3 linked regions of the Lepisosteus oculatus genome follow. The protein of the gene in region 2 interacts with the protein of the main gene of each other region in a pairwise test. Links are inferred from orthologs where the notes say so. Each region holds a gene or a part of one and is shown on either strand. Other genes may lie near its edges. The genes, in order: unm_hu7910, get3 and gpx7.

The links.
Region 1: the proteins of get3 (region 2) and unm_hu7910 interact in binary tests that used the Homo sapiens proteins (3 or more experiments, as listed by UniProt). The two-hybrid records come from large-scale screens. The link is inferred for Lepisosteus oculatus from reciprocal best matches to the Homo sapiens genes GET3 and ASPH.
Region 3: the proteins of get3 (region 2) and gpx7 interact in binary tests that used the Homo sapiens proteins (3 or more experiments, as listed by UniProt). The two-hybrid records come from large-scale screens. The link is inferred for Lepisosteus oculatus from reciprocal best matches to the Homo sapiens genes GET3 and GPX7.

Annotation. Positions count from the first base shown.
Region 1 is NC_090701.1:50,419,906-50,423,660, forward strand, and holds the start of unm_hu7910 (aspartyl/asparaginyl beta-hydroxylase), read right to left. Parts: upstream 2,917-3,755; 5' UTR 2,588-2,916; coding exon 2,545-2,587; intron 1-2,544.
Region 2 is NC_090706.1:16,860,077-16,863,831, forward strand, and holds the start of get3 (ATPase GET3), read right to left. Parts: upstream 2,832-3,755; 5' UTR 2,732-2,831; coding exon 2,589-2,731; intron 1-2,588.
Region 3 is NC_090704.1:14,935,851-14,939,605, reverse strand, and holds the start of gpx7 (glutathione peroxidase 7), read right to left. Parts: upstream 2,757-3,755; 5' UTR 2,654-2,756; coding exon 2,522-2,653; intron 1-2,521. UniProt on the Homo sapiens protein: It protects esophageal epithelia from hydrogen peroxide-induced oxidative stress. It suppresses acidic bile acid-induced reactive oxygen species (ROS) and protects against oxidative DNA damage and double-strand breaks.

The sequences.
Region 1 (3,755 bases), on a different chromosome or scaffold from region 2:
CGAAGAGGTCACCAGCTTTGACACCTGCCCTTCGTGCAGAGGTAAGCAATTTAATTCATCGATGGTCCCAAACATTTTCAACGCAATTCATGCAGTACTTTTCACCCCAGATGATCCCAAAGCACTTTACAAATGGAACTCAGTTTATCTACCAGTAACTTAGCTGATGTATGGCAGAAGCCCTACTACACAGTAGCAGCTTAGGATGTTCCCCTTAGGGGAATTGCTTCACCAATTTAAATAATCAAGATTGTCCAGGCCTACAGTGGACTTCGACCAAGACAATGGGGTAACGCCCATATGCATCAAGCAGTGCCACTGGATCAATGATGACCAAGGGCATAAATGAACAAGACATTTCTGACTCCGAGGAAATACCCAATTTAGTATAACTATGGCTACATACAATTCCATCGACTAAAATATTAATGTCACTGATCATTAAGATTTTATGAGAAACATTAAGACTAACAATTTATGATGGCCTGAACATATTGTGACACATTCACCAAATCAATACTTTCAGTGAAGCACCACATACAAATACTTGTGAATACACTTCAGAGACTTCTTCCAGCATATCCAACCCTGTTTCTATAAAACCTGGATTAGAGTTTTTAACATAACAAATTACCAATTTCTAAACACTTGGAAAAACATTTGCATGTGATCAACTGCAAATGACCTGTTAAAGGAAGCAATCTGCAGAGGGACAACAGCTCTCCTAGTTGAACTGGCCTTAATCGATCAATAACACACAAGTAAAAGGCGGATGATTTAATATGAAAGTGTTTATTTTAGATTCAGGAAAATTATACTCAAGCGTTAAAGAAAGTAGTAGGAAGACCTCCATTATAATATCATTCAGTGTAGTTACCATACCACAGAGACAGAGCTTTAGACAGAGGTCAAAGAAGACAAAAAACAGGATGAGTCCAGGTTAAAGGGGCTACATCTCTCCAGTCACAATAGAGGGACACAGGAGATTTGATTCAGGTATAGATGAGGTCAGCCAAGGATACTCGCAAATCAAGGACACAAGGACACTGGAAACTAAAAGGAAACTAATTTGGTACAAGGAACAGGAAATGCTTCTTTCCACACATAGCTGTATCTAGAACAGGTTTTCTAGCCAGGGGGTCGTGGCCAAACGACCAGGATGCACTGAATGGCTGCATAGTTTGCCCTTATATTCTGTTTCCAATCCTCAAATTTATGGTGATCTAAACAATTAGGGTGACTGGAGATCCCTGGTGCATTTTTGTAAGCTGTAGCTCGTAGATCTTCCCGTCTTAAAACAAGTCTCAAGTAATTTCCAAGATGAGGGCGAGCTATAAATGAACTCCCCAAAAAATAAAAGATGCTAAAAGGACTACATATGATATATGAACGTCTGGTGAACCTTTCATGGCTCTTATTAAATTTAACTTCTGAAGGTGTCTTATGTGCATTTAAGGCTGGAGTATTAAATCAACCAATAATCTAGCCCCATCTAGCAGGGCCCTACACGTCCGCTCTCCACATGCCAGATCCGGCAAACTTGGCAGGCCTGCGAGGTGAACTTTGTAGCAAGGGAATGCAAAACACACGTGTGCACACGGATGCGAGAACGTAAAACGGCATCTGGTCACTGTTCCTCCAACCCTGGAAGCGGGAAATCGTAGGTGTGGATTTGGATAATTGAAATCTCACCCCCCCCCCTTCCCCGCCTGTCGGGGGTCCTCCGTTTGAACTGCGATAGTAGCCACGTGTAACCCCCCTCCCATCGTCCCCCTCTTTTGTGTGACACGTGAGCATTCAGGAAAAGCGACAGCAAACGCGAAAGAAATGCCGAGCAGCTTTCATCCTGCTGGGCGGATCTTTTGAAGAGACAATTCGTGGCCCCCCGGGCAACTGACTCTAATCAAAACCAGGACGCCTCTCCGCCGAGTCCGCCCCAGCTACCTTATGTAACGCAATTTGTTCTCGCACAAGGGTTCCACTTTTACTTGGGCTGAAAGTGCACGCCACAATTTCTCAGCCTTTTCTTTTTTTAAAATCAAAAAGCCTTTTGGATCAGGAGAGGGGATAACATCCACTACCTGCAAAAAATTTTACTTCCATGCCTCATGTTTAACTCTTGTTGGCGTTTTAGATGAGGTTGGTTACAATGTAAAATGTGAGATAAAAGTAAAAAAAAAAACTAATATTTTTAGTTTCCAAACACAAGCGAGGCAACTGGCACTGGCTTTTAGAATGAATACTGCAAGGAGCGTAAATAATACATAACAAAACTACCCTGACTAGCACCACACATTACGGCGTGTGCTGTTGCAGTTACCTTCAAATGATATCTTTATCGCGAATTTAAACGACGCATTCAGTATTACCCCGGGGGGAGGGGGGACATCAGACCTCGCTCATTCTGCTTCGGATTATCTCGAACGTTTCCGCATGCATGAGCGAATACAAAATATGTATCGACCCGATTAATGTAATAGGCCTTCTGCACCGGTACAGAAGGTTGCACGTAACCCGAAGAAAGACCATATTAAAAACACTGACCTTTTTTTGGCGTGTGTCCCTTTGCATTTTTCTTGGTGGCCATGGCAATTAAAAACTGTTTTCCGTCTCTGAGATAAACCCTAAGTTGCACGCTCAGTCTCCCTAACTTCCTCGATCACTGCCCCCAGTGAATCCCAGGGAAGAAAAAAAAAATCAAATCCCTATGCCCCTACCGCAACCCGTTTACTTTTTTTGAGTGACTCCACGCCCCTCCAACCGAAAGCTGGCTAAATCTTTTCGGAGGCGGAGAGACCGACGCCCGAATCCAATCGCGGAAGAGGCGGTTGCTCTACTGAAGCGTGTGGATTGCCGCAGGTTAGATCCGCCTTGTAGTGTTTTTTCCCACCATTTTTTCTTTTGCCAGCACTGGGAACGTGGCAACATGGAAGAGACGTTTCCTCGCGAGAGCTTCGTTAGGTTGCTTATGAGAGAGACGTGATGCGAGAACGCAGGCTGGAGGAAGATGGTTTCCTCTCATCCGGACTTTGTTTAGGACCGTGATAAAGTTGGTGTATCCCACATTAGAAGAAGAAAAACGTCTGTGTTTGAATATGTCCTGAAAAGAATTGTTCATGTGCACTTCCGGTGGCGTGCCACTTGACCACTTGAGCTAATAATAATAATTATTATTGCTTACACTTATATAGCGCTTTTCTGGACGCTCCACTAAAAGCGTTATACAGGTAATGAGGACTCCCCTCCACCACCACCAATGTGCAGCCCCATCTGATATTTTGTTACTTCTTTTTTTTAACAGTAATTTAATTCTCAGAACGATGCTTTCCGTGAGCGTACTTCAGATTTTGTAATGCTGCAGTCCGAGTCGTTTACTCCAGGCACTCACGTTTCGAAATGGGATCATCCATTGGGCTAGATGGACTTAATCGTGTTGACTCATTTTGTGGTAGAAATAATTATTTTTGCTAAATACAGTCTTATGTTTGGGTCGATTTTGAAAGTTTTAAATCGACTGTGCAGCAGACACTCAAGATATGAATTAGTGGACTAGTGAAACTACTTCCAACTCCTGTTTTCCGATTTATATTGTTCTCCACGGTATTATGTATAAACTGACCGGAAAGGCAGATATCTTTTCTCAGGTGCTGTACAGTTTATTAAAGCATAGCAATGCAATGAAAGCGTCAGTGATTAATTCTCACTTATTTTGTAAATACTGTAGTGAGACGGAGTTGGTGAAGATGCAGACGGGA
Region 2 (3,755 bases):
ATTACGAACGGCCTCCTCTTTTGTAACCTTTATGCCCATCTAGATCATTCACTTTTTTAATAGCTCATTGATCTGATTCAGACTAATTGAAAGTAGCCAGCATATTGGCTTCAATAACATGGCTGGGTAGCTTGTTCCACACTCCCACTACCCTCTGTGTAAAAATGCTCCCGTTCTCAGTTTTACATGCATTTCCACTCAGCACCCACTTGTGCCTTCTTAGGGGTTCAAAGATTAAAAATCATCAGCATTTCTGCTTACTGTTTAATTTCAGCTCCTAGAAGAGAAACCTGTAACCCATTGAGGAGAGCCACAGTACTGCAATTGTTGCAGCAGTTTCATATTTTCTAATGAACCAAAATCTCGAAGCTGAGATCAGCTGTACTAGTGAAGCTAATAATGCATCCAATTAAACTGCTCAAAGCTGAGAGAGATTTAAATTGTGGGCCCGAAGACGCTGTGGCTCTCTAAGATCAGGTTCTGCAGACTTCAGCTCTTGAAGGATGTACTGCATCACTTATCAATTGAACAGGCCAGAGTCCAAAGAACAGCTCATGGAAATAATTCCGGGTCTAACAAGATCATTGCACACAAGGTGGTTAAAGGAAAAAGGAGATTATAGGGGGTCTTGACAAACATTGCAAATCCTGATAAAGTCAGGTAAAGTCATTCCTGTACATTATAATGAAACGTGATGAAGAAAGTGCCTGTGAGGGAAAAAAAAAGACACTTTACACAAAAAGTGATGGGTGCCTGGGACATCCATATAGTTGAAGGGGACTCCCTGGGATCACTGGGATCCTTAAAGACAAACCTGGTTAAGATCCCAAAACCAATAAACCTACAGCCACCAAACAAGCACGGTGGGCTGAAGGCCTCCTTTCTCACACCAGTGGTAACAGAAGCGGTTCTTGGTAACTTTACATATCTTTAGATGTCATGTTGGCAAGCCCAGCCTGTTTACTTGAGTCACAGACTCAGTCAGCAATGTGCTTCGAGACACAGGAAGCAAAGATTTTCTACAGTGTTTCAAATTCCTGGTTTTGCGTGATTAAGTAAAACCCATCATGCTGGTATTCTCACATGATAAATACAGCGTGTTTTCAAGACTTTGCGCTACTAAGGTTTTGGGTCAGCAACCGGAAGGTTAACTGCCTGCATGCTAGAAGTAAACACACTGTTCTGTTCTCTAGTTTTTACAAGCAATCTGTGAACAAGGCCTCCTTTATACAAAGGAGAGGCAACTGATCAGTCTCTCTTAAGCATAAGCACAACGTTATTTAATCATTGTTAAATGGTTAAATCAATCTCATTTCTGCAGAAATTGAAAGGAACTCCTTAAAAACATGTGTGTGAAGTGATCAACGAGGCAGAAGAATGCTTCGCCCCACAGCTCAGAGCGTGAAACAGCACTTCGTTACTGCTGATGCAGAAAATGTCTTCAGAAAAACCAGTCACCCAAAAAAGAACTTTTCTAGTAAAAGAACTTAATATATTACTTTCTTTTCAGATCAGCTGTGCACTCTCTACATTTGATATATGATAAGGCAAAAAAGCTGAATCTCTGCATTAGAGCACATGTTTTAGTTCTAGCTGATCATCTGTATCTTTCTCTACGGCTGCCGCCTTTGACTTAACAAAACAAGACACCAAAACAATTGGGTAACACATTAGCTAGCAAAATGAACTCACTTTGAGTTCATTTCCTGCTCTCTTAGCAGTAGTGCTTACCTAACTTTAAGCAGATGTGCTCACTGATACTTCAAATTGCCCCCTTTTCTAAAATAAATGGAGGCTTGTGAAAACCTATTCTAGAATTAATACTGTATTAAAAACTTGTTTTGTGATTGGAGAGCAGGTGTTTCATTGTCAATTGCTTCATCACGGCTCGTACGCCTTCAGACAGAACAAGTCCCGGAATCGGAATTCTACTCTACTCTGCTCCCCGAACCCCTGTATCCCAAAATCATACAGTGCTCTAGCAAGGTAACGCGTGTGCTGACCATGAAATCTTATGCGCAGCTAATTGTTGTCATTGCGTACAGCCAATAAAATATATTTGTATTATAATATAACGAACCCCGCAGATCCTGGACAGATTACAGTCATACATTTATCTGTATTGCGTGAGTTGTTTTGTTAGAAAAATACTAATTCATAGCTTACGCTTGCTAAATAACAACAAGACCACTTCATGTTGCAGGTTGACAAGTCAGTGGAATTGGGCTAATTCATTTTAAATAACTTGACTGCACATTTTCGAGCAGGTTCGATCTTTCCAATCATTTGCAGCCGAGAAAAAACGGCCCAGGTTATCTAAGGTGCTTCATTCACGGCGCTGCAAAACTGACAGTTGTAAATCATACATCCAGGTCGCCCTGACAGCGACGACACAATCAAGGCGCTGCAGTTCACGTTAACAGGGATGAAACTCTGCTCTCGTCGGTTTGCGTTTCAGGTTACAAGTTCACATGCGAAGGAAGGAAGGAAAAAACTAATAAAACTACAGTATCGTAGTAACAGTACGGAACACAGCAAGACGGCGCAGGCGGTTTGGATTTTGAATGGACTCGGCCATTTTGACGTACCTGCAAGTTGTTTTGCCTACGCCGCCTTTGCCTCCAACAAATATCCATTTCAGCGACTTCTGCTCGATAATGTTTTTCAGCGTCGGTTCTAGCGGTTCAACATCAGGTGCATCTTCAAATTCCTCTTCCATTGCCGCTGCCATCTTGAAACCGGGTCAGTCAGGGTACTGGCGCCTACCAAATGTTATAGTAGGTAGGGGTGGGTGGGTGGACGGACGATCAGGAAGCAGCTATGGGCGCCATTTTGGCTCATCGACAAAGCCCCGATTAGTTAGGCGACTAATCACAGATTCTCTGGTAGCGGAGCCAACATGGAGGCCAAATGTCTACGTCGTGTTTCCTTTTGTGCGTCACGGTATATACCACTTTTCAATAGAAAGGGTGAAGATAGGGTGGGAATATTCCAGAAATCATTATGAATATACTGTATATATATAATAATTCAAAATTAGTAAGTATAGATCACAATTAACAGTGAGACAGAAACAACAGAAAAAAAAGAAAATTATATTAAAACTGAAAAAGGAGAAATTTCTCTACACAAAGGGTACTGATAGTGAAAAATAACGCTTTCGAGCCCTGTTGTAGAAGCTGATACTACTCAGATTAATACACAACTAGCAACCTAATGTACAGAATGGATGACTGTGGTTTTTGACACAACGAATGCGTCCCCCGATAGTAAACAGGTGGCCATTTTGTTTCTGGAATAATATAGGCACTAGTGTACATCTGCCATGGATTTATAACACAGTCGAACCTCTGCTGATTTAGATATTACACCCAGTTTCCGTGTTAAACCTGTTCAGATTGGCTTTCTATGGCCGACTTCTTAGGATAAGATAAACGTCTTATCTTCTGTCCCCTAGAGGAAAATGTTTAAGAATAGAGCTCTTCTGTTCATTTCTTTTTGGATTTCTTATATGAAGAGACATGCATTATCCCCCCCATTAGATCTCTGTTAATAAACTAAGCGTGAACACAATTTATCAAGTGAAAGTTTAACCGATGATACCTCAATATAAAGAGCATTTTACGGGAAGAAATTAATTTCCGTTTTATAAACATCGTATTTACATCCAGAACCAGAAGTAATACTTCTAGCATTTTTTCATTCATTGGTTTTTTTAATTTTTTTTCAACACAGTAAGATAACATCACATTTAT
Region 3 (3,755 bases), on a different chromosome or scaffold from region 2:
GTATATTGTTTAGGCAAAATGGTATAAAGAATTTCAAAGACCCTAATATCTCTTTGAGCATGATAAATAGATCATTTTTAGTCTACACAAACCCTGCATGCTGCATCATTCAGTCTAAACCATCCCTACAGTCGAGCATGGTGGTGGTAGCAGTATGTTATAGTTCGGCTTCTCCTCAACTAGAACTGGGAAGCGTCTCGAGAATGCTGATAACATAAATAGAGCAAAGTATCGGCAAATGATCTGCTTCAGACCTTAAACTAGTCAAAAATGCACCTTTTTTACTTTGGCTGAGAGAGAATTTGGGCCAATCTGCCAAAAAGAACAGGTAAAAATTGCACCATGCCGGTGTGCAAAGTTAGTACCTACCCAGAAACATTTGCAGTTCTAACTATTACTGAAGATGCTTTTACCAAAAGTTGAGTCTTGTTTTTTTGTTTCTTTAGTTTTTCTTGACAAATGACTTTTGTTGAATGCTTCTGTATAAGCATTCAGGTTTTGTACAAAGAACTCACGTTTTTAAAAAAAATGCAGATGCATAATTTTGTGACTTTAAGGGGCTGGGCTGGAATTTTTGGAAAGTACTCCATATATTCAGAAGTTACTGTCTCTAATGTTTTAATACTACCTCAAAGGCAGAACTAGTCTACAGCAGACAGAAGGCAGTGTGGCTAGTCTTGGCTTAATGGGAGATGTCCCTTTCAATGTACAGTAGAGTGGGGATAGGTGATCCAGGCATTCTGCCTTACATTCCTATTTACCTTTGGAAAACTGATGATGATAGCTCAATGTATTTTTTCTTCACTCACAGCCAATGACAAAAGCATTGACACTGTTACCTAAATACGACTTTAAAGAAAGTATTTTAATATGGAACTGCATGTGATAAAACCTTAAACCATCTACAGTATTAAACACTTATGTTCTGCAGAATTATACTAAAATATCTGGTCATTAAAAAGGTATGGTCACTTATTCACTTCAAATGTGATGTCTACCCTTAAAAAAAGGCCTGCTTTAATTGTCACAGAGGTGTGATTCACCAGTTACAGGACTATCCCTGCTGTTTTTCCAGGAGATCCACTTTTTTTACCCATCTAAACAGTTGTATTAGGGAATGTATGAAGTTATGATTAAATCACTGATCTCATGACTGCAAGATCTTGGTCTTTGTTCCTGCTATGGTCACCTCCGTTGTTCCCTAAAGCAAAATAGTTTACCTGCATTTCTTTAGCTCACCTGGTTGTATAAAAGCAAGTAAGAACCATCAGCGAACACAAGTGATCTGCTAAATTCTGTATTACGTAAATTTCAGCAGCTGGTAGATAAGACTTTCTTTATACAAAGCCATATATATTACAATCACCCTCACACCCGAAGAAGACTCAACAGCCGAAATGTTGTGTTTTCTTTCTTCTCTTTTCAGCATGGAATAAATCTTTTTTTGTTTCTTTGCAGCCTACGCATGCTGACGCAGCTACCCACCTGAACTATATTAGAATCATTACATTTTTTATTAGTTTTTAGTGTGGTGTAATTGTATTAACTAGTGTATCTCATATTTCTCAACAGTTATTGTTGTTATTTATGAGCTCCATTCTGGAGGATTTAATCTCAGTACACGGACTACGGTGATTCAAATGTGAATCAATGGCTCCCCCTGGTGATACAAGTATTTCATTCTATTTCTGATTCTATTTAAAGATTTAAATGCCATAGTACACAAGCTACATGGAGTGCTGTTACCCTTAAATACATTTTTGTATCTCCTAATATGGTTAGACACTTATGACTTTATATATACTACTCAAATTACTTAAAAGTTAGTAAATTAAGGCATTCACTTATTAAGTGATTTTATTAGAATAACAGAAGTGTGCATTAGATAGTTAATTTAAGATGAAGCATCATGCCTATATGTGCAAGTTTATTACACATAATCCAAAAGTAACACAAGAAAATTGAATAATAAGCATTTAACTGATGAAGATCCCATAACTCTGCAGTAATACAATAAATTAAAGGTCTACATTCTACAAGGCCGATTATACAAAATGTATAAAAGACGACGATTTATAACAAAACTAGTCTTTTGGTAATAAAAGCACAACAAGCGCTGTTACGATATAAATTAAAAATGTAATTCTGGTAAATCGCACATTTTATTACTAGGTATCTAGTAAAAGGTATGTTCCTTGAATTACCACACCATAAAAACTTTAACCCTCTACTTTATATTTGCCATGCAAACTGTCGCGTATGCGTGTCAAAATTTGGGTTTTGCAGACAGACTACTTGCCACGTATACAGACGACAGGCACTCAGAACTCCAGACAGATTGTGGTTAGTATTTTATTTTAAGAGATAAAGACCAAAGCACAGAAATGGCATACAACATCTTTCAAAACATGCATGTTAGAATTTAATTGTATTCATGCAAAACAAACTACTAATAACCATGTTGGATGCATGTCACTATTTCTCGCACACGTCTGAGCATCTACGTTTGCATTGCACTTACCGAACCTCTGTATTTCTCCAAGGATACTAACTTTCCCCTGATGTTCACTACTTTAAAAGTATAAAAATCTTTCTGCTTTGCCTCTAAAAAGCTAGAAACAACTAAGAGCAATGTAAACAAGATTAAAAGCATTGTGAAAGATGTAACTATAACAATTCTGGTGAGCGAAACGTAATACTTTTACTGGATAGATCCTGAAGTAATTCAACCCCAGAACTCTGATTTCAGACAGAGGTTTTCTCGACGTCACATCTCATTGCCGTAAAGCACGTGCGTATCGTAAATTACAGTTAACCCCTTCTGGTCTTAATATTGGTTTTTGTTTTAAAAAAGGGAAGAAGTTATTAGTAATTTCATTAATGTTACCGTCTCTTCTTCTTCTTTTTCACAGCCTTAGTCCCAGACTGTCCTGGGGTCAGCTGCTTTGGTTGCTCTTCTCCATTTGTCTCTGTCGAGCACATCTTCCTCACTCACTTCACATACCTCCATATCTTTTCTCACACAATCTATCCATCTCTTTCTAGGCCTGCCTCTTCCTCTGTTACCTTCCACCTCAAATTCCATTACCCTCTTTGTTACTTCCTCAACGTCCCTCCTCATGATATGTCCATACCACCGTAACCTCGCCTCTCGCATCTTCTCAACCACATCCACCACCCTACATCGTCTACGGATTTATTCATTTCTGATCTTATCCTTCATTGAAATCTGCAGAATCCATCTCAACATCCTCATTTCAGTTCTTCTCATCAAGTTCTCTTCCCTCTTTCCAACTGCCAAGCATTCAGCTCCATATAGTAGTACAGGTCTAATCATAGTCTTGTACATTTTGCACTTTAACTTTCTGGGAATTTTCCTGTCACAGATTATTCCAGTTATTTCTCTCCACTTGTTCCATCCAGCTTTCACTCTTTGTTTTACTGCCTCCAGTGTTTCTCCTCCCTTTACCAGTTTTGATCCAAGGTATTTAAAGTCATCAACTTGTTTCAGTTTTCCTCCATTTGTCTCCTCAACATTGGTCATAGTATCTCCTCTTTTCTCCATTACCATTATTTCAGATTTTTCTGCATTCATTTTCAGTCCACCCTTTTCCAGACTCCTCTGCCATTTGAACACTATTAATGTTACCGTAGATCGACAAATAACTCAAAACCCGAATTCAGTCCAAAAAGAGAAAGAATATCCAAACCCACGTGGTTAGGAACGCTCCCAGAGTTGGGACACCCATTCTCAC